Notamacropus eugenii: one gene and its partners. The protein of the gene in region 1 interacts with the protein of each later gene in a biochemical or structural test. Links are inferred from orthologs where the notes say so. Each region holds a gene or a part of one and is shown in the gene's direction. Other genes may lie near its edges.

Region 1 (10,489 bases):
AAAATATAATTCTTAAAATCATTCAAATGATATAGGAAAGAGGAGAGTTTCAAGAATGGAGGAATATGTCATCTCAGGACACTATCTCCACAAACATTTATGTCATACCTACTATATACAGGGCACTGGGGACTCAAAAGGGCATAAAGGAAGAGACATAAAAAAGGTAATTAACAAATTAAGGTGAAACCAACCAACCAACCATATATTCAGTCAGGCCATAAAACCAGTCAGGTGATGAACTCCAACTCAAATACTTCCTGCGTGCCACTAATGTCCAAGACACTGTACTAGGCATGGAGATGCAAGCCTAGAAATGAAATCATTCCTGTCTCAAGTGGTTAAGGTTCTGTTGGGATGAGAGATAAACCTAAATGTCTATACAAGTAAACACAAAGTAATTCAAATTAGCTTCATCCCATAAATGAAGTGAGTGACGGAGTACAATGGGTGTTGAGGCTTAAGGCCGTCAGTAGAAGGTTTTATGGGACTAAAACTAGACTTAAACTAAAACTAGTTTATGAAACTAAAAGCTCTAAGGAAGTTAAGGAGTTGGATGAGTTAACATTTAGTGGGTAGAGCATTGCAGAGAAGGAGAAGAATTTGATGGAGTACATGCAGGTGGAGATGCACGTGAATTATCTGGCTGGGGGGCGGAGGTGTTATTGGTGTATAGGAAAGGAGGAAGGTAACAGCAGATTGTAGGGCTCTTGTTCCCAGAACTTGTTATCAGTCACACGCTCCAAACCTGTGACTCATTTCTCCTAGAACAGATTCCCCACTGGAATATGCATCTCCATTTTTCTATTCTCCCAACCCGTTACACTTGCTAGAATCTTTGTTGTGGGCTGCCCAACATCACTCTGCTCCCCAGCACTTCATTTTGAACTGACTTTCAGGTTTCTCTTCTTAATCAGGCATTAAATTTCAACCTACAGCTAATGATCACAATGATGATGAGAATGCCATCGTTAACGAATGCTAAGCTTTGGAGAGACAGCACTGCTCTCCTAGTCTGACCGCCATGATGACTCTTTTACTTTCTACCCATGGGTTTTCCTGACCTACATCTGCCTATCCTGGCAGGAGAAAGTCAGAGGATGCTCTGAAGGAAATCTGCCGATTCATTGCCCCTCTCCTTCCTGAACAGCCCTCTCTCGTTTTCCCTTTTGGAGGCCATACTGTCATCCCCAAGAAAAGGAGTTAAAGAAAGCAGCTCTTTCAATCAATCAGCCAAACACTAATCATTTACTAAGTTCTACTGTGTACCAGGATCTGCACTAAGTGCTCAGTATACAAAAAGAGTCAAAAGACAGTCCCTGTCCTCAAGGAGTTTCAAATTGAATGGGGGAGACAATACATATAGCAAGCTACATACAAGATAAGTAGGAAATAATTAACAGAGGCAGATGTAGGAATCCGACTGCTCCTGAGGCTTGCCTTCCAGTAGCTTTAGCTGCTCTGCCAGTCCTACCCACTCATGATCAGCTTTCTCCCCAGTCAGTTCCAGCTCTCGGAACTCTGCTCTCCAGTGTCAGAATCTATGGAGGAGCTGGGCCACTATGAAAGGGCAGCAATGGCCCTATTCTTCCCCTGTCTTCATCTACAACCTCATCCTGTCCTCCCCATCCAAGATTCCCAAGGTCACCCAGGAGGGGTAGTGGGAGATTTTAGGATTGGTAGCACTTTCATGGAAGAAGTTTTAGGCAGGGAGTTAGGAGAGCTGGGTTTAACATCTAAGCAACCCTGGGAATGTTAGGCAAACTCATATTCATTTTCTCATCTGTAAAATGGGGACAACATAACTGCAAAGGGTTATAGTGTGAATTGGGCTTTGCTCTGCTTGTCATGTTACCAACTGGGAACTCTGTGTTAAGTCCTTGTGTCCAGTCCTAGAGAAGGATGGGGAAGAGGGTATCACGAAGACACAGATACACACAAGTATGTATAGACACGGGTACCTCACACTTCAGCTCAAAGCTCTGCTCTCAAATTCCTCCCTTAGGTGATTGGTCTCAATTCAGAGTCAATGAGTTCCTTATAAATCTGGTGGGAAGGTGGTGAAGAAGGTGGATTACTTGACTCCTGAGTTTCTTGACAGAAAGGTTATTTGTGTGACTTCCTATGCTGTGTGGGAAATGGGCAGCCCACTGACTCCTATGTGCCCAGTCCTATGCTACACACTGCTACAGGGACAAACAAGGAACAGACCTAGACTCTGTACTTGGGGAGTTCACATTTTGGGGACCTAGGCCCTGAGTTTGGGGAGATCACAGCTTAGAGGAGACAAAATTCACACATGAATATATATGTTGTGAGTATACGGCAAATACCAAATGAGGGTTATATACAAGAGAATTAGGAGTCCAGAGGAGGATAAGATTACTCTGAACTTATGGGATGCTCAGGGCCTGAAAGAATGGGTCAGGGCTGAGTAGAAAAGAGGACAGGCATTTCAGTTAAGGGAAATGATGTGAGCAAAGGCAGTGAGGTGGGGATACAAATGTTCAAGGACATTGAGGAGACAGGCTATAGCAAAGGGTGTGTGTGAGGGAGGAGGGGGAGACACAGTCTTTTTCAACTGGTAAAATTAAGAGGGATTGGAAAAAGCTTTCTGTAAAAGTTTTAGTTTTAGTTTAGTCTGCTCAATAAACACAAAAGGAGAGAGCTTTCCCACAATCTTTCAAAAGTAGAATTTCACAGGTTGATTTAAAAAACAAACATTCATATATGCTGTCAGGCCATAAAACCTGTCAGGTTCCCAACTCCAATTCAAATACTTCCTAAGGGCCATTAATGCCCAAGACACCCTACTAGGCAAGGAGATGCTAACACAAAAAGGAAATTATCTGTCATAGGAGCTTAGGTTCTATTGGGAGGGAAGATAAACCTGTAATTAATTCCAGAAGGAAAACCCATCAGACTTCACCCAGCCCCCATCCCATTTACTGGGGTAAGTGTGTGGAAAGGAGGGGAAGAAAATCTGAAAAAGCTTCCAAAAGTAGGTGGAGCATGATCAAGACTTCCTGGCTACCTTCTCCCACGTCTCAATTATTCTACTTCTAAAAGAGAGAATGATTCTTGCCAAAAGGGTAGTAAAGGATTTTCTGCTACTGGTTGCTGGCAAGACTTAGTTAATTTAATTTAGTTTAGAATGCAATAAATTGAAAACCTGATTACAACATGCTACTAAAATGATTCATTTAGAGTGAACTGTTATTTTAGTTTTCTGTTTGAGGTAGATTTTTTTTTTAACTAAGCAGAAAAATGCTTGTTTTTATTGTTATGATTTTAAACTTCAGCACTTGAGTCAGTCAACAAAATAGTTTTAGCAACCAGAGAAGTATTCTTTTGGTACACTGTAGAAGAGATTCTTGTTCAGGTTCAGATTGGATTAGATGCCCTCTGGTCCCTTTCAGTCCCGAGATTCTGAAACAATAGGGCACATTTACACACCAAACCAGCTTTCCACCTTCTACAGAGCTCTTAGGCAAGAAACCTTTCTTTATCTGGCCGGAGGAATTCTAACTATTGTCTCATCCACATTAACACCACCCTTCTATTGAGTAAGGTTGACATAAAACTCATGTGAAAAACTGATCGGCTAAAGTCAGGAGTCTATTTTCAAATTCCTGTTGAAATCAGAAGCAGGTCTTTATCTCCCTTGAACACAATAATTCACTTGTTTCAGGACTTGGCTCTTACAACTTAGAAAATAGTTCTGAGGGTTTTTCTTCTTTTACCTCCTAAAATTACACACACACACACACACACACACACACACTACACACTCTGTTCTGTAGTCCTCCTGTGATTGAAGGTTTGGAGATGAGTCAGTTAATTATCAGGGCTACACACAGAGACAGGATGAAGTAACCTATTCTTTGGCCCATTGTCAACTCTGATACTCTTCTGTGGTAAGATAACAGTTCATAATTATATTCATCATAAATTCTGCCATATGCTAATTTGTCACCCTTCCTGAAGCTGTCACGACCCCTTTTCTCTATTCTCTAACACCTACCTGTTTGCCTCTAAAACGTGAGAGACTGTCAACTGCCATGCAACCCAAACGCTATCTTAAATGTTTTCACAGGTTAATAGGGATTGAAATTCTGCTGGTTAGGGATTTTGTCATTCTTCATGTTCATCCAGGACCAGTACAATACGCTGTGGTTATCCAACTACACTCTTTCATTGTTGTAGTGAAAAGGGCTTTGGAATTGGTGTCAGAAGACCTAGATTGAATTATGAGCTCTGCTGTTTCCTAGCTCTGTGATCTTGGGGCAAGTCATTTACCCTCCGTGCTTTACTTTCAATCGTAAAATGGGGATAATGCTCTCTACCCAGTCTACCCCACAAGGCTGTAGAGAGGATCAAATAAAACCACAAAACAACGGCAGCATCTCAGAGCTGGAAAAGATCCTCCCAGGTTATCTCCAAAGGCTGAACAAATCATTTCTTCAACAACTTTATGTGCGCTTGGCTTGAAGAGCTCTGCAAATGGGAGACACACTACCTCATGAGGCAGCACATTCCATTTTTTAAAACACAGTTCTATTAGGAAGGTTGTCCTTAATTCGCATCAAAATTTACCTGCATAGGACTTAGACTTATTATTACTAGGTCTGACTTTTGGGACTAAGCAGAAGTCGAATCCTTCTATTTAATATTACGTGCCTACTATGTTCCAGGCGCTCGCGCTGGAGTTACAAAAAGAGGCAAAAGACAGTCCTGTCTCTTGTCTGGTGGGAAGAACTCTAGGGTGGGGTTGCAGTCTGGCAGGCTGTCCACTTACTGGTAGATAGACAAATCACTTTGCCCCTTTCTGAGCCTTTCCCCTCATCTGTACAACGGGGAGAATCCCTGTACTACCCGCCCCCCGCTTATTACAATTGTGGGAAAAGCCGTGGTTAAACCAATCTAATAAATCCTGTCCATTCCTCAGGAAAAACAGAACAACCCAGACAAAACACTTCCCCTCCTGCCAGGTCTTTAAGAGACACTGAATCAAGCACCCACTATGCGCAAGGCGCATCCCCAGTTCTTCGTTTCTGGGACAGTTTCTAGCCCCCTGTTGCCTTCCTCCGTGGGCAAGCGCTTTAGGAACTTGTCAAGGGTGAGTGCTCGGACAGCCCGCGGTCAGAAGTCGGATGCATCGCCGCAGGTTCCCGGGAGCCAGACCTTGGCCACTACCGGCTCCCGGGAGGTCGAGCCAAAAGAGCTTCTGTTCCCCAGCCCGGCCCTGGGCGGAGGGGAGAGGGAGGGAGGGATGGAGAGAGAGGAATGCGGGGCGGCTCCCCCGGGGCAAGGGCAGAATGGGGTGTGTCTGTGGTGGGGCCGCCCCGGCCCCCCTCCCCTCCCCTCTAAGCGGGCGCGGACTTCAGAGGTCCTCCCAGTCGGGAGGGAGCCCCTCATTTAAGGCGAGAATCCCGGAGGGATGGCCACTACGAGAGGCAAGAGGACCACGGACGCTCCGGCCGTCCGGGCGGTCCTGGGCATCGAAGCCGCGCCGCGCCGCACACCCTCAGCCACTTTATGGTGAAGGTGGCCTCTCCTTGAGGACTAGGACGGCACCCAGGCTCCCGCGGGGTGTGGGGGAGGAGGCTGGGAACCGGTGCGGTCCCAGATCGCCCCATCCTTCAGCACCACCTCCGCTCACCCCAGCACAAGGCAATCAGGTGACGTCACCGCCTCGGCAGCGGCGGCCCCGCAGTTCTAACTTCCCCCTCGCCCTCCCCCAGAGGGAGGAGAGCCACAGGGCCCACCAGTACGTTCCCGCGGCTTGGCACCTGGAGCAGCCCCATTCCCACACTCCAACCTCCTTTTTCGAGGAGGCGGAGACAAAGAGCCTGGGGCGTGAGGAGGGAGCCAGTTCCAAACTCCCACGTTTCCTCGCAGCACACCCACCCCTGCCGGCGCCCGCCGCAGCGGGGCCTAGTCAGACCGCCGCGCCGCTCTTTTATAGTCATCTCGGAGGGGGCGGGGCCAATCCAGACGCTCATGAACGTGTTGACGCCACGCGGCCGGGAGAAGGGGCGGGGCTAAGGGCTCGAGCTCAGCTGCCTCCCGACTCTTCAGGCTACCCTCCGCCCCCTCAGCTTCGGGGATCGAACCCGAGAACAGAGCGGCCAGGGCGGTGGGCTCTCTCCTTAGGCTCGCGGGCCCCCCCACCGCTCCCCAGCGCGACCCCATCCCTCCCTCCCCTCGTCGTGGGCCTCTTCCCAGCCGCCATGGGGCCCCCCCCGCCGCTCCCGGTGTGTGCGGAGAGATGAGGGGCGTCGGTGGTCAAGATGGATGCGGGGGCCCGACGGCCCCAGCCGCGGCTTCGCCTGGTCCGGGCGCTGGAGGGTCTGGGGGTGCCCGCAGGGCAGCGGCGCCCGCACGGATGCAGTGATGCTCTCGGCGGCCGCCGCCCGTCCTCCTCCTCCTCCTCCTCCTCCTCCTCCCGCGGTGTCTGAGGAGCTCTTTTGTCTGCGGCCCGAGCCGCAGGGAATCACCCGCCGCGCAGCCCCGCCGTCGCGGGCCGCAGCCCGGCCTCGGCCCTGAGGGGTGGGGGCGGGGTGGGGGCTGCTTCGCCGTCGTTGGCCTCCCCGGCCAGTCTCCTTCCCATGAAAATGGAGCCGGATTTATTCGTGACTCTGTCCGCATCGGCCGGGACCACGTCGGACTCCCTGCTGACGTTCGGGGACCTGTTCCCGGAGCAGAAAGGGAAATACTTCCTCATGGACCTGGAGAAAGTGTCGGAGGAATCCCGGGGGCAGGTGCCTGGTCCCGATCTGGTGCTGCTTCCTCCAGAGACCCCCCCGCAGCCCTCGGTGCTTTTAGGGCCTGTTCTGCAGGAAAAGGGGTCTGTGGCTTTCCAGCAAGTTTTGGGGGAGGTGAAGCTCCGCCAGGACTTATTTTCTGAAGGACCCATCAACTATTTGTATCGGTTAGAAAATCCGGACCTCTGTCTTTTGGACCAAGAGACCCATACTCCTGTCGCGGACCCCGACCGGGATTTATCTGTCAGTGACAAGCAGATGTCTTTGCTAGGTGTGGTTAACGATTCGTCTGAAGAGGATTTTAATACAGCTCTTACCTTGGGGCAGGATCCCGAAGTCTCCGACCGGTTAACAGGTTCTGACGAGCAGGAGCAGGAGGACCTCTATGCTCTGGAATTGGGCCCACCTCGGTCACCTCCGCAGGATTTACAATTGAGCATGGAATTTAGGGAGCAGGAATCATGTACGGAAAACCGCCTTGGAGAAAGGGATAACATTCTTCAGGATCAAAGAGATTTTTACTTAGGCATGGACCAGGCTGCTCCCCCGGACACCAAAACCCAGCTCTCAGGACTTGATCCAGTTTTTTCCTGGACTAAAGAGCCAGAGGATTATGTGCCCGGAAGATGCCAGAAAAGTGTTTCGTTAAGTGCGGAGGATTTAAATCATAGTTACCAAATTAGTAATGAAATAAACTTCTTTCCCTCTTTCACTACTTCCACTTTGTGTGATCTGAAATTAGATATAGTTCAGAATAACCTGGGCCAACCCTCTGATTTCAACCAGACTGAACCAATTCCAAATGAGCCTTCCGGGTGTCAGGAAGATGGCCCTCGCCTCAGAGCTGTGTTTGATGCCCTAGACAGAGATGGGGATGGTTTTGTCCGTATAGAAGAGTTTGTTCAATTTGCTACGGTTTATGGTGCAGAACAGGTAATATAATCCAACATTTCTCTGATTTAGGTAATTGTTTGTATGTCCTTGACTATGTGCCTCCCATGTGTTTTTATTTCATCTGAAAATTTATCTTTTTGATTTTCCATCATGAACAAATAATGTCACTAGTATATCTGTTTACATTAAATATTGGGCAATCTTGAAATGTATGGACAAAGATAATAGCGTTGGGAGGGTTTTTTCCCCTTCCACACTGTAGTGTCCTTTATCTCTGATCATATTTCTTTGAATCTTTTTCCCCCTCCCCCCCTTTAAAATTTTGTTTTTGTGTCACTCTCCCACAAATACGGTAAAATATCTTCTAGATCTAGTAAGGATAATTTTATCAACTTTAGCCTAGAGCAATCTTGGACATAAAGTTAGAGGGGCCAACCTTAATCAAAAACCTGAACTTATAGCTGGGTTTTTGGGGGAGGGGGGTTGAGGTAATACATAAGGACCTATAAAATCCTGTAACTGCGAAGGACATATTAGTAGCTTCTAGTTTTGAACAGTTATTTTAAAATGTGTGGTTAGGAATTTTTCTAAATAATGGGGTTTTTTATTTAGAGCCAAGAAAAGTAGAATTATTTTTCCCTACCTCCAATTGATTTTCTGCCTATACTCCTTTGAACTATTTAATTACTAAATGCACAAATTAACAGATGATTAGCGTTGGAAGGAAAGGCTGAGTTTGAACCAGCTACCTCTGGAACCTCAGGCAAACTCCCTCTGCCTGAGCTACCAGGCAGGAAGCTCAAGGGCTCTGTACAGTCAGCAAGCAGCCTTTTGGCTTGGCAGCCACAGCCTGCAGTGATGTTGCTACTGCTGGGTGGGATGCCTCCTCCTGCCTGTCACTCCTTCCTCTTCTCTTCAACTCAGGGCCTCCTCACAGGGCTTCTTTCCAACAAGAGATAATCATGGCATATTGTAGATCCAGAGCTGGAAGGAACCTCAGAGACCATCTAGAGTGACTCCCTTATTTTATAGATGAGGAAACTGAGGCCCAGAGAGTTTAAATTACTTGCCCAATCTCATCTATTCTAACCCTTTCTTTTACAACTAGGGAAACTAAGGCCACATAATTGTTTTTCCCCATGACTAAACTAGTCATCAATAATAATAACATGTATATAGGCTCTTAAGGTTTGCAACGCACTTAGCTCATAGCAGACCTGTGAGGTAGGTAGGTTGTACAAGTGCTATTACCTAATATATAGATGAGGATACTGAGGCACTGAGCAGTAAAGTGATCTGACCATGATCACACAGATAGGAAGTGGCAGATGTGGGATTTGAATGATTCTATCAGAAAAATCTCTTAAGATTTTGATAGTGATAGACGTAATTAAATTTTTAGTTTACCTTAAGGATTCTTCTTATTTTTTAAAAACCTCTCATTAAACATTGTCTGCTTTTCAACATTAGTTGAAAACTACACATTGTTACAAGTTCTTGTCTAAAGTGATTCTTAAGTTACCATCCTTTTCGCAGCTTAAGGCTCATCATTTTCAGATACATATTTGCATTTATGTATATGGCACAAGATCATGGTCCTTATGTGACCTAGTTTATAGTAATATGTTTTATTAGAAGGCTATCTGTACCCACTGTTTTGTAAACTATAGGGTAATGACAAGTTCCTAAATGTGGTTCTGATAGGATTTTATACTTTGGTGGCTTCTTGTATATACATCAGCATTAAATTGGGCATTAAAGTATATTCACAATTTAAGCAGAAATCCTTTTAAAGATAAAATGTAATATCAACTATTCAGAATACTATTTACTTACTGTAATGATGTTTATAAGTCAGCCTTACCTATAAAAACACAATATTTATGATATCTATTGTCTGAAACATACTGTACACACATGACAATATAGCTATCTATCTCATGGTTCTTTGAGCGTAGCCTAGGAAGGTGTGGAGCCTACTTAAAAAAAAAATCTTTATGTTGTCACTTCTAAATGACACCACGCCACCCCAAAGCCCTCCTTGAAACAAAAAAATATATTTAGGCATAACAAAGCAATACCTTGGCCTTGTGCCCCATTTCATATGTTGGAAGGTGATCAGAGAACCTACCTCTTATGCATACTATCTGAACGACCTTGAGTAAGTCATAATCTCTTGTGTCCTCATTTTCCTCATCTGTAAAATAGACATAGGCTTCTGTGGCTCTTTTCAGCTCCTGATCTATGACCTATGAGAGCCCCCCACTAATCAGAGATTACTAATGTCTTTCAGGTTTTTCTTTATACTCTTGTGAACTTTGCCCAGAGATAGTTCTCTTTTTTCTGCTTATTTTGTTCTACCTCAGTTTATTTAGACAAGACTTCCTCTGTAATCTTTATAGCTGTCATTTCTTCTGGGGCAAATAATGTTACATTTACATACTACAATTCATTCTGCTGTTGCTTAATTGATGGGCACCCACTTTGTTTCAATTTTTTTCTTGTTACCATAGAAAATACATTTTTGTCCACATTAAGATCTTTCTGTCTTTGATCTCCTTGTGTTACACATCTAATAGGGATTTCCCTGGATCTGATGGTATATAAAGTTTAGTACCCTTTCTAGAATAGTTATAGATTATGTTCCAGAATGGTCAGATCAATTCATAATTCCAACAATAGTGCATTGATATGCCATTTTTGTCTTCTGTTGCCTTTTTACATCCTGAAAATATCTATTAATTTCATTGTTATTAAATGACATATATCTGCATTTGAAGGTCATCTGTGTTAGTATTTCTTTTTGGACTGAAGGTATAGCTGAGAAG
Region 2 (10,140 bases), about 280 Mb from region 1:
AGAAATGTAAGTTAAAATAGCTCTGACATTCTGTCACACATTCTTCATATGGAAAAGTTAATTAGGAAAAAAAAAGAAACTGACAAATGTTGGAGAGGCTTCAGGAAAAGAGGCAAATTAAAACACTCATAAGAGAGCTGTGATATGGTCCAGTCCTTCTGGAAAGCAATTTAGAACCATGCCTAAAAGGTTACTAAGCTTTTTGTAAGCTTCAACCCAGTGATACCACTACTAGGCCTGTACCTCAAAGAGATCAAAGAAAGAGGAGAAGGACTCATATGTACCAAAAATATTTATAGCAACTTTTTTTGTAGTGGCAAAGAACTGGAAACAAAGTGGGTACTCATTAAACAGAGGACAAATTATATGTGAATGCAACGGAATATCATTGTGTTATGAGAGATGAAGAAAGAGATGGTTTTTGAGAAACCTGGGAGAACTTGTATGAACTGAGAGGGAAGTGAGTAGAACCAGGAGAAAAATTTATGTAGCAACAACATTGTGAAGACAACTTTGAAAGATTTAAGAATTCTGATCAATGCCATGATCAACCACAATTCCAAAAGACTGATGATGAAGTATGCTACCTATTTCCTGACAGAGAGGTGATACATTCAGAATGCAGAATAAGATATATATATATGTGGCCAACATGGGAATTTATTTTGACTATACATATTTCCTTCAAGGGTTTTATTTTTCTTTTCTTCAGGGGAGTGGCATAGTATGTGAGTTGGGGAGAGAAAATCCTTATTAGTGGAAAAAAATTAAAATTATAGTTTATTAGAATAATCTCAACTAATTTTGAGGATATCCCTGATGAAGACATGAGAAGAAAATAAACAGTATTCTATGGAAGACTATACTTTTATGACCAATTAATAAATACTTAAATACCTAATATATGCCAAATACTGCTAGAAGCTGGGGATGCAAAAAAAAACCCAAACAAACCAAAACCCCAGTACCTACCCTCAAGCAGGAGGAAACAATCTATATACGTGGTTGTTGTTGTGTCTGTCCTTCGTTTTCAAAGAGGATCATGATGTCAGAGAAATGACGACATGACTTGCACTTGACTTTGTTTTGAGTGAGGGAGGGCTATGCAGGTCACCAGTTTCACTTTCTCCTCCTGAGCACTCTGGATCCAGTGAGCAGCTATTCATCAGGATGACTGGGGATGGCCCATGATGCAATGTGAGACCTTGACCTTTTAGGCTAAGGCCTTTTCAGGTACTCACTGAAAGTGAGGTAATTCCCATTCAGTGAATAGGCCTCTTTAAAAAGTAGTCAGGGGGTTGGCCCCTTCAACAGAAAATAAAATAAATAAATATATAAATATTATATGTATACACACATATACACATCAAATACAAATACATCTAAATTTTCAAATACTTAACTATAAGCGATCTGATCAATCACTTTAGACCACAACCCACTCATGCCCGTCCTGTGCAGTTCTTGTAATTGTGCGTGTTTAAGTACTTATAGACAAAAGCTAGTGAAATTCAAAAACACCTAGGAAATAAAAGAATAACTATAAGTTCCTTTACATGTATAGTACATACAAAATAAATAGAAGGTAATTTCAAGAAGGGAAGACACTGGCAACTGGGAGGATCAGGAAAACATTTCATTTAGGAGATGGTATTTGAGAAAAGCCTTGAAGGAAACCAGAAATTCTAAGAAGCAGAGCTAAAATGAGGTGAGGGCAAGTATGTTCAAAGCATGAAGGCAAGTACAAAGGTACAGACCTGAACGATGGAATGCTACAGTATATGTAAAGGAACAAGAAGGCCAGGTTAGTAGCATTGTAGGAAGCCTGTAAGGAAAACAATGCATAATAAGCACGGAAGGGTAGATCTCATAATTGATTGAAGGGTGCAGAGAAACTTTGTATTATATTTGTCTGCTGATTTTTTAAAAAATTGCTTTTTATCACCTTAAAGCCTCTCCTGCAACAAGATGTCTTCCATGCATGTTAGAAATTATATATGATTCCTTGGAAGATGTAAGAGAGAACTCTATTCAATGAACCTCTGCTTATTAATATCAAGATAGGGACTGGACATCTGAGATGATGAGATGTCTTCTATCAATGTAAGTTTGGCCTTTCTCTGCAAGTCTTAGAAAGTTACCTAGATGTTAAGTGATTTGCACAGGGTCACAGGCAGTATGCCCAGGGATGACATTTGAAACTAAGTCTTCCTGGCTCTGAGGCTAGCTCGCCCTCTATCCACTATGCCACTGTTGTTCAGTTGTGCAGTTGTGTCCAACTCTTCATGACCCCAAAGGCACATCCTTCTGTCCTCCATGGGTTTTTCTCAGAAACCACTCCAATGGAACTCCTTTCCTTAGAACTCTCCATTACAACCTGTCCTTCTTGGGTAACTCCATATGTCATTGCTCATAATGAAACTATATTATGTGGAATTACACAAGCACCTCTGCCAAAACAAGGAAGAGGTGATCCAGGAGGGCACCACTGTGCCATGTGGTCTCACTATTAATATCAAATGAAGCTTAAAACAGAGATATGTTCGTCAAAGGTGTTGGCACTGTCATGCAAGATTTCCAGAACTGAGTCCAGGTGGAAGATGGTGATCTTATAAATGGTGATGTTCCTTTCAGATAATGATAGCTGGCATTTATATAGCACTTTAAAATTTACATAGCAATTGTTATACGTGACCTCATTTGATCCTCACAACTCTGAGAGGCACATGATAAAATCTCAATTTACAGGTGAAGAAACTGAGGATGAGAGAGGTTGTAACTTGCCCTGTTTACATTCAAACTCATGTCTTCTTCACTCCAAGTCCAACATTCTATGCATTTTGGGTCACCTTGCAGATGTCATTGTTCTGATAAGACCTGCAACATTGTAGATGTAAAAAGGATCCATAATCACTCAAAAGAATTTGGTCTATTTATCAACATAGAAAAAAAATTAAGAATGCCTATTTTCTAAATGAAGTAGTAAGATGATCTATCACTATATGGACAAACAATGCAAAGAGGATAGGTGGGGAGAGGTAGAACTGAACAGGAATAAGAGCAAGCTAAGGAGACTGTTATTTTTATGATCCCTAACTTCTCCATATAACAAAACTCAATATTCTTTCAGTGATACTATATGGCCGTGATCATGAAATACCATATTTTCCAAAGCATCAAAATTATGGGTAACATCATTAAAAAAAGCATTATAAAAAAGCAGTGCAAAAGATCAAACATGATCCTTTATACTTCATTACACATCAAAGTGATGTCTAATAGCTAGCTAGTATTTATACACCAGGTGAGGATTTGCGAAGGGCTTCCCTCATGTTATCCCATTTGATCCTCAACTCAACTCAGTATAAAAACAGCCATTTCCAGATCCCAGGTCACAGATTCTCTAAGGCAGGATTTGAGTTCATGTCTTACTAGCTATACCACCTGGCTGCCATAAGGCATAAGAAAGTTGGCTGGTCATGTAGCAAGAGTGAAGGACAACAGAAGGTATTGGCAGATAGAAGGACAAGACCGTGTTCCCCACAGTTATTCACATGTTAAGAGCCAGCACATTGGATACAGGAGGCAGAGGCAAAGTCATACTGAGTGAGAAAGTGCAGGAGTGAGTTGTGATTGGTACGTGGAGGGAGAAGTCATATGGCTGATACCACAGATCCTGTGAATTACTGGCTTAAGAATTTTGTTCTCTTTCATAGAGCAATTTACTTCACCTTTTAATTTTGTACCTTCCTATGAAGAGCAACCTGCCATCTCTCCAACTACTCAACGGAACACCAAACCCAATTTTAAAAAACCATTCTTTTTTCACTAGTTCCTCTTTCTGCCATGGCTAAGTTCCCATTATTTTAGTTCTGATTTGTACTGGTATCACTAGCGTTCATGCACGTATTTTAACTCAGCTGATCTTCACAACCCTCGGAGGAGGTGGTGGTAGGAAGGCTGTGGAAACTGAGACTTGTCTGAGTGAAGTAAAGACAAATCTTTTTCCTCTGGTCGGTGCTTTTTCAATACTTTGTAGATACCATGATATAACTTCTTGGCATTTAATAAAAACTCCCTTGGAATAAAATGCAGGCTAAGCCTAGGAGCAGGAGAGGAGGACAGATCTGCGGCTGGAAGGTTCTACAGAGGAGGAAATCGGGCTCGGGAGGTCGGAGGCCAGGTCCGGACCGCTGGCAGACTTCGGCTTCACTCACGAGGTTCGGCTCAGTCCGGACTGACACGGACTCGTACATTTCAAAGGATCCTGCCCGGGGGCGGGAGCTTCCACTGCGGGACACCGTGAAGCACACGCACACGCACACAGGCAGCCACAGCACGGTTTTAAAACTGAAGGGAAACGAGGTTTTCTAAAGTTTCGGCAGCCGGGGAGGCGCACAGGGCACACCCAGGGCCGGCCTAGCCCAGCGCGGGGCGCGCCGACGGGCGCAGGAGCGGCCGCGTGGGCTTCTTCCGTACGTCTTCCTCTAGCGGCGCGGCGTGGCGCGGCGCAGGGCAAGGCGGGCGGCGAGGTCCGCGGGGGCGTGCGGCGCGGCGTGGCGGGAAGCGGGGGGCGGAGGGAGAAACTACGAAAACGGGGTCAGGCCGGGGCGAAGGCCAGGACGGAATGAGGGGAGCGTTTAGTAGGCGGGGGGCAGGCAGGCCCTGCACGCCGGAGGATTTTCCCGAGGATTCCCGGCCCTGGAAGTGGTGAAGCGGCCGGAACGAAAGAAATGGAAACTTAGGGGAAGAAGAAGAAGGAGAGAGGGCGGGAGAGCCACCTCCCAGCCTTCCTCTGGATTGGCCCGCCCCCTCCGTCACCCGCGGGAGCCCTTCGGGCCACCGTAGTCCGCGCCTCTCCTTTTCCCCGCGTGGCGCCGATGACGCGAGGCGCTGAGAGCACTCTTCTTACAGAGGTCCCTTTCTTCCGAACAGTCGGTTGCCCGCCGCTGCGCCTGCGTGGCTGAGAGGGGAAGTGAGGCGGTTTCCTCGGCGCCTTTTCCGGCTGTGGCTGGGGCTGAGCTGGGAGGAGGAAGAGGAGGCGGCGGCGGCAGCAGCGTCGGCCGGGGGACCCTGCATACAGGGCGGTGGCCGGAGGTAACTGCTTGGGCTGGGTGGGGAAGGAGGGTACTCAGGTCCTCCATTTCTTTCCCCGGAGTTCCGGCGGTAATCCCCTTCTCCCTTTCTTTCCTCTCTGTCTCCTTCCAGGTAGCTCACCGAGTCCCTCCGGGGATCAATGACCTGACGAGGAGCCGGAGCCGCCGCTGTCGCTCGGGTGGCGAGGGTCGGTGTTTCGGCGGGCGGGCGGGCCGGGGTCTCCGGCGGCTGCGGGGCCAGGAGAGACGGCAGGCAGCCCGAGGAGCGGGCCGAGCGGGAGCGGCGGCGGCGGCGCTCGGTGCCTGGGGGGGAAGGGCAGTTCCGGGCTGGGCCTCACCAGGGCGGCGGCTCCCCGCGGCGCAGCTTTTGGCCGGCGGCGGCGGCGGCTGGAGGAAGCCCGTCTTGGGGCCGGTGATGTCCCACTGAGCGGGGCCCCGGGACTCGGCCCCTAGGCGGCGGCGGCTCCCCCATTGCAGGCCGCAGGGCGTCCTCGCGGCTGGGCGGGACCGCTTCGGTTTCCTGGAGGCTGCGGCGGCGGCGGTGCCTAAGGGGACGCGGGACACCTGAATGCCCCCAGCCCCGGCTTCTCCGACGCGATGGGGAAGGTGCTGTCTAAGATCTTCGGGAACAAGGAAATGCGGATCCTGATGCTGGGGCTGGACGCCGCCGGCAAGACCACTATCTTGTACAAGTTGAAGCTGGGCCAGTCGGTGACGACCATCCCCACCGTGGGCTTCAACGTGGAGACGGTGACTTACAAAAACGTCAAGTTCAACGTGTGGGACGTGGGCGGCCAGGACAAGATCCGGCCGCTCTGGCGGCATTACTACACCGGGACCCAGGGGCTGATCTTCGTGGTGGACTGCGCCGACCGAGACCGCATCGACGAGGCCCGCCAGGAGCTGCACCGCATCATCAACGACCGGGAAATGCGGGACGCCATCATCCTCATCTTCGCCAACAAGCAGGACCTGCCTGATGCCATGAAACCCCACGAGATCCAGGAAAAACTGGGCCTGACCCGGATTCGGGACAGGAACTGGTATGTGCAGCCTTCCTGCGCCACCTCAGGGGATGGACTCTATGAGGGCCTCACATGGTTAACCTCTAACTACAAATCCTAATGAGCATTCACCGCCCATCACACCCCCCTCCCCAACTCCCCTCAGGAGAGAAATAAAAAAACATTCATAGGATTATCACCACCATCACCTCCAAAATGCCACTTTCTCTTCTTTTGAATATGGACTCTGGAGTTACTGTTTTACTGTTTGGGGGGGCTGGGGTTTGGGGGGTTTCTTTTGTTTGTTTTCTTTCTTTCTTTCTTTTTTTTTTTTGCTTTGCTTTAGGACGCTCTAGTCTGACATTTGACATGAACACAAAGTACTAGGTGCTCTTGTTGACTTCCAGCAAATGGGGTGGGGGAAAATATAGCAGCTCTTGAGATGGTCCTTTATAATAATGGTTTGATTTTTTTATTTTGAGGGAATCTTTTTTTTCAATGTATGTCTCCCCCCTTTTACCCAGTTACCTTATCACTTGCTGTAGATGGCTTATTTTGCATTCATGCAGACGATGTTGCAAGTCTGTTTCATCTAGTAAACTGAAAATTATTGCTTAATCAAACTGCAGTCTGTCTTTTATATTTAAGGACTCTTTTTTTTTAAAGAGTTCTAACTTTAGTAATTTCAGGTGTGTCTTTTCATATCTAAAACTAGAATGGTAAAACCTTGCCTGCAGTGGCAAACAAGTGATACCATTGTAATAACTTGCAAGTGCAAATCCGTAATGTTAAGCAGGTAATGTAAGAAGTGCTTTGAAATGTTAGCTATTAAGTTCTGAAACATACATCTTGCATGACTAGGGATAAGACCAAATTTGCTGTACCACATAGCTAGCTGTTTCCTGAATGAAAATGTGAAAGTTTGAACAGGCCATAGATCTCGTATTGAAAAGTTAGCAGTTGTGTTGAATTTTCTCTCGTTGCTTTTTTGTTCACTTCCGATAGTAGTGTAAGAATTATTCAGGCAATAGAGCAATAATGGTACACACCACTTTGATAGCTGAAACATTTTGTTACATTTTGACAAAACATGCTTTTTTTTAGTTGGCAGATAAGATAGCAAAAACCAGACAGTGAGTTTTGATAATTACTAGTCTGTTTATTGTGGTCAGTTCTGAAATATTTTTAAAAATTCAAATTATCAATCTTTTTTCCAAACTGCAAAAGCAAACATTCCAGTTTCCCTATCGCAGAAGCTGATTAAGTTGAAGAAATAAGTAATTTTTTTAGAGTTTACAAATGACCTATATCTTAATTATCAGTGAAAAAGATGGATTATTTTTTAAAGTTTGACTTAATTTTGTGAGAATGTAGATTTAATTCATGGAGGTGGTAATCAGATACTTTATTAGTTCACATTTATTTAAATTTAGAAGGAAAGGAAAATTGATAGATGACTAGATAAAATCCACTGATAAGAAATGCCAAGTAAATAGTGGAAAATATGTAGGTAATGATCCTACATATGACGATGAATGTAAATTTATAAGTCTTGTGAAAGATAACCAGTTTGTCCGTTTGTCAGCTACTGTCAGTATAACTAGATTACATTGTTAACCAGATAGTTGAGAGTACTTTGAATCAAATGTTAATAACTTGATATAGAATTGTGCAGCAGAAGCTGGTTCTTAGCCTCAAATATTAATTTTTAGAGATCATTAAAAAGTTAAAATTTGGAATTTAAAGAATGTATACTATAAAATCAGAAATGAGGTGGTGTGTGTCTGTATGTTTGTGTGTGCACTTGGGGTTTATGAAAAATCCGCAAAAGTTTGAATGAGACATCATACTACAGTTGTGCAGTATTAATCCTGCATGTTTTTTGACCATAAAATGTATGATGGTGCTTTTTACCAAAGATATGAGGGGGCTTAAGGTTATAGAAAATTCACTTCTTGACATGAAACAACTTGGACAAATATTTTACTTAATAGACTAATAGATAATAAACTGTTTCTATAGAATTTATATGGAATAGGAATTAAAATTTCTGCTGTAACTTAGCAGTTTAACTTCATTCAGGGGCAAGGCCTACTGAAAATTAGGTTGAAGAAATAAAACATTTTGGGTACCCTTACAAAAGATTTCTAAGGCTCCATCATAAATTTAATTCATAGTCTTTTGAACGATTCTAATTTTTAAGGTACATAAAATGTTTGTAAAATGATATTCAAATATCAGAATGTACTAGTAACATCTGGAATAAGATAAGCACAGAAAATTCCCAAACTGGAAGAAAGTTGAAGCCCTCATGCTAATAGTTCTTGAAATTCTTTTTAATGTGTCTTTTTTTGGAAACAAGCAGTTGGATTGGTTAGCTTTCAATTTTTTAATATTAAAACAGTGTTTAAAAGATTTTTATATGCTTAAGTGATTTCTTTTGAATAGGTGAAAAGGTAATGAAATTATTTTCAGGTTCTTTGAAATGTCTGAAAAGGGAAAATGAACATTTTGAAATACAGTAGAACTTTGAATACCTTTTAGTAAGCAATTGTAAATTTTACTTCAGATTTTCCTTAATGAATGAAAAATAGTTTATAATTTTTCTAGTTAAATTTAACCATAATCATTAGTAATTATGGGGCTGGTAAATACAATCTACAGGGGGAAACAATCATATCTTTTAAGAACTCCAGTTATTTTTAAGGAACAATTTGAAGTTTAAAGTGCATCAAGTTCTGTGTTCATGTTTTATAAGATGCATTAAGTTTTGAATGAGGTTAATCTTGTCTGAAAAAAGTAAATGAGTCTCTAGACTATCTCCCTAACAGTACAGTACTTGGAATTGTGTTTTTAATGACTGTAGTGTTGAAAAAGAACTAATATGCAGAAAATAAAGAAATTACACAGCAGTTTCTCATGGTATATTACTTGTTTGAAACAGTCAAGCATATGGTATATTGGGTTCCTGTGCAGAAAGTGTATAAAGTGGTTTTGTTGATTTGGGGTCATCGATGTGATATTTGTCTCTAGTTTTAGGAAGTGCATGTTCTTGGTTTCGTAAGGTGCGTTTGAGCTTTTACTTTTTTATGCAGAAAAAGTTAACATGAACAGTGATAATTCCTTGATTTTAAAATAGAACATGGACCAGAGATATAATTGAGAACTACTTAAAAGCTTCCATGTAGCAGCTTGTTATGTGACTATTCACTTATATTATGTGGATTTTTGGAATATAGTTACATTCACAAAGAATGTGGCCTACTTTACTTTTTACATTTTAGAAGTCCTACAGGGAGGGCTTCTTTGATAAAGATAGAATAGCAGCTGCTTATAAAATGGATTAGTAAATGAAAGCTACTTCATTTTTTAAGAATTCTTTTTTAGAATTCTACAGATATTTCATTTTTTAAGAATTTTAGGAAAAGTCATCAAGACCTTAGTGTCGTTTTTTAAAAAATACCCTTCGACTCCAGTGAAAATGTACATGATTATATGCTGAGTCCTCTGGTTACTTAAATAGTTTCATCCCAATGACAGTAATTGAAAATTTCTAAAATGTCAAGCATTTATGATAAGTGATAATTATATAGTGTGATATAGTAAGAAAGAACACTACATTTGGAGTCAGAGGACATCGCTTTGACTCCATACTTGGTACCTGTGTGACCTTGAGAAAGTTGCTGAACTCTCAGTTTTCTTATCTGTAGAATGAAGAGATTGGACTAGATGATCCCAAAGGTCCCTTCCAGCTTGAAATCTTACAATGCTTTGTTATGTATTAGCCTTAACTTATTTTTATGTTGGCCTATATATAATAGCTACAATACAAATGGGAACAGGTTCATTAAATTTCCAGAGTTACTACTTAAATCCTCATTCTATGGGATAACTGTCTTAAATGTATATCTGTATATTTTAAAGCAAGTCCTATCTCTTATTGCTGAAAAAGGGATATAAAACTATGTAGCAGTTATAAAAGATGACTTTCAGTGACTAAGCAATCATTCACAAAAGCTTAATGTCAGCTTTACATGGGA
Region 3 (9,894 bases), on another chromosome or scaffold:
GATCCTTGAGCTTCTGAATTGCCAGCTGATCCTTTTGTTTAGCCTTCTCATAGGTGCCCAGAAGTTCAGACACTTCTGAGACTTGGTTCTCTAGGGCAGCCACCCTCTGTTCCTCCATCTGAGAATACTGACGGAGCTGCTCCTCTGCCAAAGCAGTCTAAAAACCAAGGAAACAAAAAAGATGAATTAAGAGAGAGTGCAGAGCTTGTCACTGAATCTAGGAAAGGCAGAGAAGAGAGAGGGCACTTAAATAGGATGTGCTGGTAGGAATGGGAAGAACTTTAGAGAACTTTTTCATTGATTCAAGCACCAACAAAACTTAAACTATTATCCACTCCCATTCTGCAACCCTGCCCTCACCCCTTGAAGACTCAGAATTTATCTCACCAAATAATATTAAGGTCATTTTCTGTGACTTGACAAAAATCACATGAGCATTAATACTATTACTAGATCAAGTCAAAACAAATGCATTACACTTATTCCCTGAGAAGCATTGTCTTCAGCTCAAGAAGCTAAAAATGAATCCTTCTCCATGAATCCCTGATCCATCCAGTTAGAAATTTTCTCTCCCGTTTTAAATTTTCCTGTGACACTTTATCTAGATTTCTCCTTTGCTCTTCTCAAACACTATCCTGTATTATACTTATCTGTGTACATGTATTGTTTCTTCCTGACACCTGCTACCCAGTAGAGTCTAAGTTCCTTGAGGCCTGGAATGTTTTTTTTTCCCCTGTGTAATCTCATTGCCTGGCACAGTGCCTTAGCACATGACAGATACATGTTTATTGAGTGTTCATGAACAGTTCTATTCTGCTTTCAGTTTCTACATTTTTGTCACACGTCTAGCATATTATGTCTATCACCCTTAATCTGCTGTTTATCCTCAGGAACTGCACGCTCCTGTATGCTACCCCTGCCTAGCAAGTCCAGAATTGAAAAGCGGTATTCTCATAAAATCCAAAACAGTATTCTGGGATAGCACATTCATCTCCAAAACAAATCCTGATTGAGAACAACTGAAGGAAACTGCCTCCTTCTGAAAAAAATATCAACCACACAAATAGAATACAGTACTTCACTGTTTTCCTTAACACAGCTGTTAAGAAGCCAATGCCTAGAATCTGGAAGCACTCCAACTTAATTCCAGACAGCACCCACAAATACCACATCCCCTTAGACGTATGTTCTGTAATTTTTGTAAACATCAATTAGACCAAGATTTTCCAGTAAATTTGTCCATGAGAAATTTTGGGTAAGGACCATGAAAATAAAGGAATTGAAAGCATGAAGAGACCTCGTAGGTAAATTTGGTCCAAATCCCTCATTTTGTAGAAGAGAATACCAAGTTCTATAAGATAAAGCAACTTGTCTATGGGTACATAGCTGTAAGTGGCATAGTAAGGATTTGAACTCTTATTACAAATTTAGCACTTCTTTCAACTACAGTATAGGGTTTGAAAAGAAGAAAAAGTCTAATATTTTTAGTCACGCATTAAGCACCTATAGATTTGAATCAGATAAGGTGAATTACCTTCCTCATTTCCTGCTGCAACTGGGACTGGAAATGACTCTTAAGGTGGGCAGCTTCTTCCTGAAGCTCTTCCAGCCGTGGGTCTGGATGAGTCTTCTCCTCTCGAAGAGCCTGCAGTTCCTGCTTCAGTTCCTCCACTTCGTGGGTCAACTGTTTGATCTGTAACTCGAACCCTTCCACCTGGTCAGCTGAATAGGCCTGTCCAGCCAGGGCTTCCCGGGTCTCCTCTAGCTGCAGTTCAATATCCTGCCGTAAGGTTCTCTCTCCTTGTAGCAGTTTCTGCAGCTCCCTCAGCATCAAAGCATGATCACTCTGCTCCTGGGCTCTGTCATGCTGCTGTGTGATCAACCTGGCTTTAGTCTCTGCCATCTGCTCCTGCAGCCCCCTGAGCTCCCCCTCCAGTCGGCTCCTTTCTTCCTCAGCCTTCCTACCGGCATCCTCCAAATCTTGTTTCATTTTCTTTTTATCAGCCTGGTACGAGGCTTCCATGCGGGACTTCTCTTGTGTCACTGTGGCCAAAGAGCTGGTCAGGGTGGTCAACTGGGTCTTCAGTTGGTGCAAACGTTTGTCGATCTCCCCGCCAACACTGGCTGGCACATCCCCACTACTGGAACTAACGCCACTCTCCGACCCACTGGCTTCCTCAGACTTCGGAGGTGCTGGACCAGCGGGCAGTCTCTCATCTTCCACCCCGAGATCACCCTTGGTGCTGGTCAGACTGGCCGTTGTGTCCAGGCTGGTGGCAGTACCAGTGCTGTCCTCACTGTGAGTGGAGCACCGGTCATCCACAGCCTCGGCCAGGGGAAGGCCTGGGGCCTGGCAGGCATCGTCAGCCTCGTGGGACGCCGAGAGCACCTTGAGGCTGGCCTCCAGGGCCTCCTTCTCCTTCAGCAGGCTCTTATAAGCCCGGACCACGTCCTTGAGGCGGGCCTGGTACTGCAGCAGCTGTTTCTTCTGCGTCTCTATGGTCTCCAGCAGGTCCTTCTTGCTAGGGCCCCCGCCGAAGTTCATGCCAAACTTCTCCATGGCAGGGGCAGCTCCCTGACGTCACCGCTCACGGAGTCTGGGGTGGGGGGGACAGTGCGGGGAGGGGTCCGACCTTACGCGCGCTCCCGCCGAGGGGGTGCAGCTGCCAAGGCCGCCATGTCAGGCGCTTTCCTGGCTCCGGCCCCAGAGGGCTAGCGGGGCAAATGACGAAGCCAGCAGACGCCGCGGCGCCCCTCGCTCCCTTCGCCCCCGAAGCGGGACAGACCGGTTCCGGCTCCGATCCTAACTCGGTAACCACTTCAAGTCAGTTGTCAACAACGCTTCCGGCTCCGCCGGAAGTGCAGGTGGGCATTCGGGATAGGCGTGCGCTCGGGGAGGAGAGGTGGGACGTAGAGCGAAGGGGTGGGGCATAAGGAGAGGGGCGGGGCCTTTGAGCGCCAAGGGGAGGGGCCTCGAGCGCCAGTCGAGCTGCTGCGGTTGCTCTTAGGCGAGGCTGGGCGCTGCTTCCTGGGGTCTGAGCTGGTCAGGGTATCTGATGCAGTGGAGGGGAAAATGCATAGAGAGACCTGTATGCACGACTGCGGCGCAGGGAATGGAGGCGACCCCCTGCCAGATCTAGGACCACCAGTTCTTCACCTCTTTTTGACTCCTGGACCCCTTAAAGCACCGTATAAATGATATTTGTTAAAATGTCTGTAGTGCTTGAAGGAGAACCCCGCCCCCCATGGGAAGCTGGGGACGGGAGTATTGAGGGGCTGTTCTCCATACCTCTTGTTACAGGACCCTGGGCAAGTCACTTAACCTGTCTGCCTGTGTTCTCATCTGTAAAATGGGAATGAAAGCACCTACCTTACAGGGCTGTTGTGAGGATCAAATAAGCAATTTGCTTTAAGTACTATACGAATACATATTATTCTATTCACCAGTCTAGAAGATCCAGAAAGCTGCAGCCATTATGGTCAGGTGCCTCCTGAGAGATGTTTGCTCTAAATTTGCAAATTGGCCATCTGCAGATCTCTGCATTCAATTCAGCAAGTGTTTATTGATACAGATGTCTAGCATTTCGTGGTGTAGTGGAAGTGAATCCTGAATTTGTGAGTAAGGCCTGAGTTTAAATCTCTCCCCTAATATCTTTCTACCTGTGCAACCTTGGACAAATCACTATTTCTCTTGTTCATTAAAGTTTCCTAATTTGTCAAAAGAGAGTAGTGGATAATCACTTATGACCTTTCCAACTCAAAAGACCTATTGTTGAGGCAGCTAGGCAGCACAGTGTTTGGAGCACAGTTCCTGGAGTCAGGAAGACCTGAGTTCAAATTCAGCCTCAAACATTTACTAGCTGAATGACCCTGGGCCAGTCACTTAATTCCATTGCCTCCAAAAAAAAGCCCTGTTTTAGAGGTGTATTTATATAACTACAGAGAAGAAAAGCAGCAAATCTGGGGACTGCATCTGAACTTGAATATGATTTCTTCCCCTAGATTTATGATCTAAAACTTATTTTACTTTTGCTGTATCCTACCAGTCAATTTAATTCAAGCATTAAGTTACTATGTGACAAGACCTGGGCTAGAGGTTGTCAGAGAGATACAAAGTACAAGAGGAAATTTCTGCTCTAAAGAGAGAAATTCTTACTTTACCCTGCCTCTTATTTACTTGAGGTACAGGGAATTGTAAGTAAACCACATTGGGGTTCCTTAGAATTAATGCCCTTGAAAAAACCCAGCTCCTTGAAAGCAGGAACTGTCTTGCTTGTATTCATAACCCCCGCACTCTGCACAGTGCCTGGAACATTTTAAAGCACTTAATACTTATTCTGTTTATTATCATTGGTGTTTATTGTAGGTCAGTTGTGATACCTGAAACTCAGGGCAGAAGTCCATAGATGCGTTCCTTACTTTATAGTAGAAGCAAGAGGTTAAGGTGATTTAAAGCACATAATATTAATGTTTTATTACCATTGGTGTTTATTGTAAGTCAGTTGTGATACCTGGAAATATGGGCAGGTTCCGTAGATTCCCTCCTTACCTTGCAGAGGCTCTGGGAAAGAATGGAAAGAGGTTAAAGAGTAAAAAACACCGCATCTTGGGGTGCCCTGGCAGGCATGGGGAAGAGAAGCTGCATCTGTTACAAATGATCCTGATGGTGGGAGGGATGATGGGCTCTGAGGCAATATTCTGGAAAGAGACCCTAATTTCTTTCTTCAACTTGCCACAAACACACAAGGTAGACTATTCCAGAATGCTGGGGGGGAGGTACGCGTTCTTCCTGAGCCTTCTTTCTGTTTCAGTTTTTCCTGGCGTAAAGAAGTGATTTAGAGTCAGAAGAGCAGGGTTCGAACCCCATCTCTCCTACATCCAGGTGACTGCGAGCAAATTACTTCCCTCCCAGCCTTAGCTTCCTCCTCTGCAAAAAGAGAAGGTTGGGCTCTAAGCTCTTTAAGGTGTGCGGGATGGGGGCGTGGCCTGGGTGGGGGCGGGGCTCTTCGGTGACGTCACGCGGGTCCTGTAAGCGCGGAGGCGGCTCCGGTTCCTGCTGCTGCTGCTGCTCTCCATCCCCCCAGCAACCTGCCGGCTCCGGCTCCGGCTCCCGGCTCCCCGCTCCCCGCTCCTCCCTCCCTGGCCCAGCCATGGGCCTCACGGTGTCCGCGCTCTTCTCGCGGATCTTCGGGAAGAAGCAGATGCGGATCCTCATGGGTGAGGTCCCGGGCAGCGTCACGGCCCCGCATCCCTCCCTGCCCACGGAGTAACGCCCTCCGCCTCCCCCGCAGCCTCGCCGCCCCCGCATCCCTCTGCCGCCCCCGCAGCCTCCCCACCCGGCCCTGCGCGCCCAGCCTCGGCCTCCCCTTCCGAGCCGGGGGTGAGGGTGGGGGTGGTCGAGAGAGGAGATGAGGGAAACTGAGGCACGGGGTGGCGGGTGAGGGAGGAGAAGGGATAAAAGACCCCCGGCCCTCGGGAGCGGGGGGCGGGGTTGGTAAGACAGGTACGGCCTGCAGCCCAGCTGGCCCAGCCTGCAGCCTCCTCCGCTTTGCAGCAGCAGCCGGAGCCTGCGGGCGCCCAGGCCGGGAACCTGCCGGCCTGGGCGGGGTTAACCCACAGGCCGGCCGCCCGCCCCCACGCGAGGCCCTTGGACACGACTGGAATGCCTCTCTGGAGAGGCAGCCCCCGTCCCTGTGGGGCCCCCACCTCCTTCCTTGAGTCCTGCCCTCCCTTGAATCCGCAGGCCCACTTTGGGTGGGGTTTTTTGTTTGGCCCTGGGCGTGCGGGTTTTTCTATGGAGGGGAAGAGAAATGGCTCGTGATGCCCAGGTTTCCCTCGGACTCCCCCCTAACGTAGCTCCCCGGAGCGGGAGATGCACGTTGAGACTTTCCGATCTCATTTTTCCCGTTCCCGAGCCCTCTCCCTCCTCGTCTCAGTCGGAGCTTCTCGGGTACCGTATCCATTACCCTGCCTCTCTATTGCAGTCGGCTTGGATGCCGCAGGCAAGACCACGATCCTCTACAAACTGAAGCTGGGCGAGATTGTCACTACCATCCCCACCATAGGTGAGCTCCTGGGACGGAGGGGAGGGCTGGTAGTCTGTGAGCGTCCCCTGTATTTCCTCTCTGGGGCCTGACCCTGACACTAGATACAGTTGCTCCAAGAAAGTAGGTCATGGTGTCTTTGGCTGATGGTGCCAGGATGTGGAAGCAGCAGCCCTGGGCCCAGTTCGGTTAATTCTTTTAAGTCTGCATGATGTTCTTCTGGGGGACTCCCAGAAGTTCTCCTGACCAAGCTGATCTCCCGTCGCTTTTGTAGAGTTGAATGTACCTGCCCACATTACAGTGCCCCTCCTCCCCCCCAGGCTTCCCCCCCTTTTCCCTTTCCTCACAGGCTTCAACGTGGAGACCGTGGAATATAAGAACATTTGTTTCACCGTCTGGGATGTGGGAGGCCAGGACAAGATTCGGCCTCTCTGGAGACACTACTTCCAAAACACTCAGGTGGGCCAGAGAGCACAAATAGCTAAATAGACACATACAGTTTCCCATGGTTCCCCGTTACCTACAAAATAAAACTCATTCCTATATCTGGTATCTGTTAAGCACCTACTACGTACCAGACTCTGTATTAAATGCTAGAGATAAAAATAACACTTTGCCCTCAAGGAACTTTTATTCTACTTTCTAGCAATTTCTTCAATTATTCCCTTTTTGAGTCTAGCCACCTTGACCTAGTCTGTGTTTCTTAAACAAGCTTTCCTCGCTTTATGCTTCTATTCATGGCTCCATCTACCTAGAATATTCCTCTTTTCACCCTTCTCCCCACTCCAGTCTCCTCCCTCCACCTGTTGAAATTCTGTTCATCCTTCAATGAAGGTCCCACCCAAATACCACTTCCATTTCTGTGAAGCTTTCTCTGCTTTCTCCAGTCAGAAGCACTTTTTCCTTTCATGTTTCTGTAGTTTTTGCTTATATCCTATCTCTAAGTGGTCCTCATGAAATTCTTCCCCACGCAATATTGGTATACCTATCCTTGTACATTAATAAGTGTTTTGAGAGTAGATAATATATATGTATATATATTTTCCCTCTTAGTGCCTTGCATATAGTAGATGCTGAAAAGGGAATTAGGTTTTAATATATATTGTTTTGTTTCATTTTTTGAATGAAAGACAGTTGAGTCCATTGATGGATGAAAGTGGAGTTATAGAAAATGTAAGGAAAGGGATAGAAAAGATAGAACTATGGTTCATTTTCTTTGGGTGAGCTAACTGCTCTTTCTTCCCACCCTAGGGTCTTATCTTTGTAGTGGATAGCAATGACCGAGAACGGGTCCAAGAATCTGCTGATGAGCTTCAGAAGATGGTGAGTGCCAGATGGGCTGTGGAAAACATTGGACATTGAGCCCTCTCTCTCATGAGTCAGAAATAGCGGAGACCGTAGAAACACAGACTAGTTTTCAGTCTAGGCCAGGAGATCTGAGTCTTTTTTTGGTTTTAAAATCTCTTGTGTTGATTCATCCTGGGTAAAGAAAGAGAAAAGTTCTCCCCCTTATGTTATGGGATGAAGCAAGTAAAATAGTCTTTCTTTTTATCCTTCTGTCATGTTTATGTGGGATATTGATCGAGGTAGGGAAGGGAGATAGGTTGTGTGTTGTATCTTTAATATGTTGAAGTAGATTTCTATCCCATTTACCAAGAACAGCTATGGGTCATTTTATAGGGCCAAGGTGATTTCATTCAGATTAATAATACTATTTTATTTTTATTTTAATGCCTGTGGTATTATCTATATAGACCAGCATTTCCTTAAGCAATCTGGCTATAGAACAATGTGAGGCTTGAAATATATAAATTATATAAAGCACTTTCAAATCCTGGTCTGGGGACACAGAGTACTTACAGAAAATATAAAGTTGAAAAATGTTAGTTTAGAGTCAAAGAAATTGAACCTATTTTAGTGCTGAAAAAAATTGCATGTAATAAATATTTTTGATACATTCATATCTAATATTGTAGAAGAGGAAAATATAACTTGAATTGAGATCCTTCTCCCAGAAACTGCTCCCACTATGTAGATCATCAGGGTTCTTTAGAACCCAGTTTGAGGAATGTTGCTATGAAAATAACTAACTTTGATATACCAAAAATATAACTTTGATGTATAGTCAAAAAATTCATAAAATACTTTTCATATTATATATGAAATATATTCATTATTATATATGAATAAATATTGTTATAATATTCTTATATTATCTTAACTTCATGTGAGGTAAGTGGAACAATAGTGTCCCGTTTTACAAATGAGGATTGTAAATACTGGATTCTGTTTTACCAGTTAGGATTGTAAATACTATATTCTACTGACTGTAGAATACTCTTGCCTAGAGGCAGGTAGGTGGCAAAGGGGATAGACTGCTAGGCCTAAACTGAGGAAGACCTTAATTAACTCTCACCTCAGACACTAGCTGTATAACTGTGGGACAAGTCACTTAACTTCTCTCTGCCTCAGTTTCCTCAGCTGTTCTATGGGGAATTCACAAGTGCTCCTACCTTCAATGGTTATTGTGTGGAACAAGTGAGATAATATTTGTAAAGTGCTTACTTAGCATAGTGACTGGCACATAGGAGGTGCCTGATAACAACTCATTCCTTCCTACAGTGTTTGTGATGAATCCTTATCTCATCTTTCCTTTCTTTTCCCCTGTCAAGCTCCAGGAGGATGAGCTCCGGGAGGCCGTGTTGCTGGTGTTTGCCAATAAACAAGACATGCCCAATGCCATGCCTGTGAGCGAGCTGACAGACAAATTGGGTTTGCAGAGTTTGCGTAGCCGGACTGTGAGTGTGTCTCCTCGCCCTCCCTCCTCCCCGGGGCAGGGACAGGATGGGACGAGGGGAAGGATTATACCTGAAAAAAATGAAAGCTGGTATGAGAACTGAAGCTTCCATCCACTGCCATGGAGCGCCTCACTCAGTTGCTAACCTCTCCTTTCTCCCTTACAGTGGTATGTCCAAGCAACCTGCGCTACCCAAGGTACAGGGCTGTATGATGGACTGGACTGGCTGTCCCATGAGTTGTCAAAGCGCTAACCACCCCAGGGCAAAACTCCTGCTGGAAGAAAATTCCCAGGTTGTATCTCTTGGACAATTGACCTCTTGAGGACTCCTGAGGCAGCGCTCCCTGCTCCTACCCCCCACCCTTTCTTCTCAACACGCAGACACACACACACACACACACACACACACACACACACACACACACACACACACACACACACACACACACACAGAATTACAGCTGCTCTTGCCTGCATGTTCTCTCTTACCAGGACCCAAAAGACTAACCCTCTGGGTACTGGGGGGAGGGAGGAAGGGGTTGTCTTCTGACTCCCCGGGAACTGTGGAAGCAGCTACAGGAACCAAGGCCTTCCAGAAAAGAAACTGGGTTGACTTTTGATTTCGTTCTTTTGGGTATACTTCTTGGGGGTGTGTGGGGAGGGGGACCAGACTGGTGCTGTGGTTCAGCACTGGGTATTGAATAATAAATTTGCTGTGGTTTGTAGCTTTGTCGTTGCCTTCATCTCTGAAATGGGGACCTTTTTTGAAGGGTACCTTGGGGTAGCATTACCAAGGTACCTTGAAGACTTGTTTTGTGAGGAATGCACTCTATAAACCTGAAAGCTTTCTATACGAGTCACTACTGGCAGTTATTGCCTGGGAGGATGGTAGGGATGCCAACAGCAAGGAAGCAACTGGCTTGGGAAATGTCATGGGCTAAGGAGGCTGAAGGACTAGTGCCTTTTTCTTAGCCATCTCAACTACTTGGCTCGGCCTCACTTTAACATCTGTGTCTGAGACCAGATAGTGTAACAGAACCCGCACCTCGGAGC

Evidence for each region.
Region 2: the proteins of RAB11FIP3 (region 1) and ARF6 form a complex in vitro, tested with the Homo sapiens proteins (2 studies listed by BioGRID). The link is inferred for Notamacropus eugenii from reciprocal best matches to the Homo sapiens genes RAB11FIP3 and ARF6.
Region 3: the proteins of RAB11FIP3 (region 1) and ARF5 form a complex in vitro, tested with the Homo sapiens proteins (2 studies listed by BioGRID). The link is inferred for Notamacropus eugenii from reciprocal best matches to the Homo sapiens genes RAB11FIP3 and ARF5.

The regions. Positions count from the first base shown.
Region 1 is NC_092872.1:54,401,721-54,412,209, reverse strand, and holds the start of RAB11FIP3 (rab11 family-interacting protein 3), read left to right. Parts: upstream 1-6,611; coding exon 6,612-7,700; intron 7,701-10,489. UniProt on the Homo sapiens protein: Downstream effector molecule for Rab11 GTPase which is involved in endocytic trafficking, cytokinesis and intracellular ciliogenesis by participating in membrane delivery. Recruited by Rab11 to endosomes where it links Rab11 to dynein motor complex.
Region 2 is NC_092872.1:332,281,086-332,291,225, forward strand, and holds ARF6 (ADP-ribosylation factor 6), read left to right. Parts: upstream 1-5,397; 5' UTR 5,398-5,693; coding exon 5,694-6,221; 3' UTR 6,222-9,012; downstream 9,013-10,140. UniProt on the Homo sapiens protein: GTP-binding protein involved in protein trafficking that regulates endocytic recycling and cytoskeleton remodeling. GTP-bound form plays an important role in the transport of multiple palmitoylated proteins form the Golgi to the plasma membrane.
Region 3 is NC_092874.1:122,539,988-122,549,881, reverse strand, and holds ARF5 (ADP-ribosylation factor 5), read left to right. Parts: upstream 1-4,966; 5' UTR 4,967-4,973; coding exon 4,974-5,217; intron 5,218-5,984; coding exon 5,985-6,065; intron 6,066-6,393; coding exon 6,394-6,503; intron 6,504-7,295; coding exon 7,296-7,367; intron 7,368-8,716; coding exon 8,717-8,842; intron 8,843-9,007; coding exon 9,008-9,094; 3' UTR 9,095-9,566; downstream 9,567-9,894. Other genes in the region: GCC1 (GRIP and coiled-coil domain-containing protein 1), read right to left, coding at 1-157, 1,535-2,560.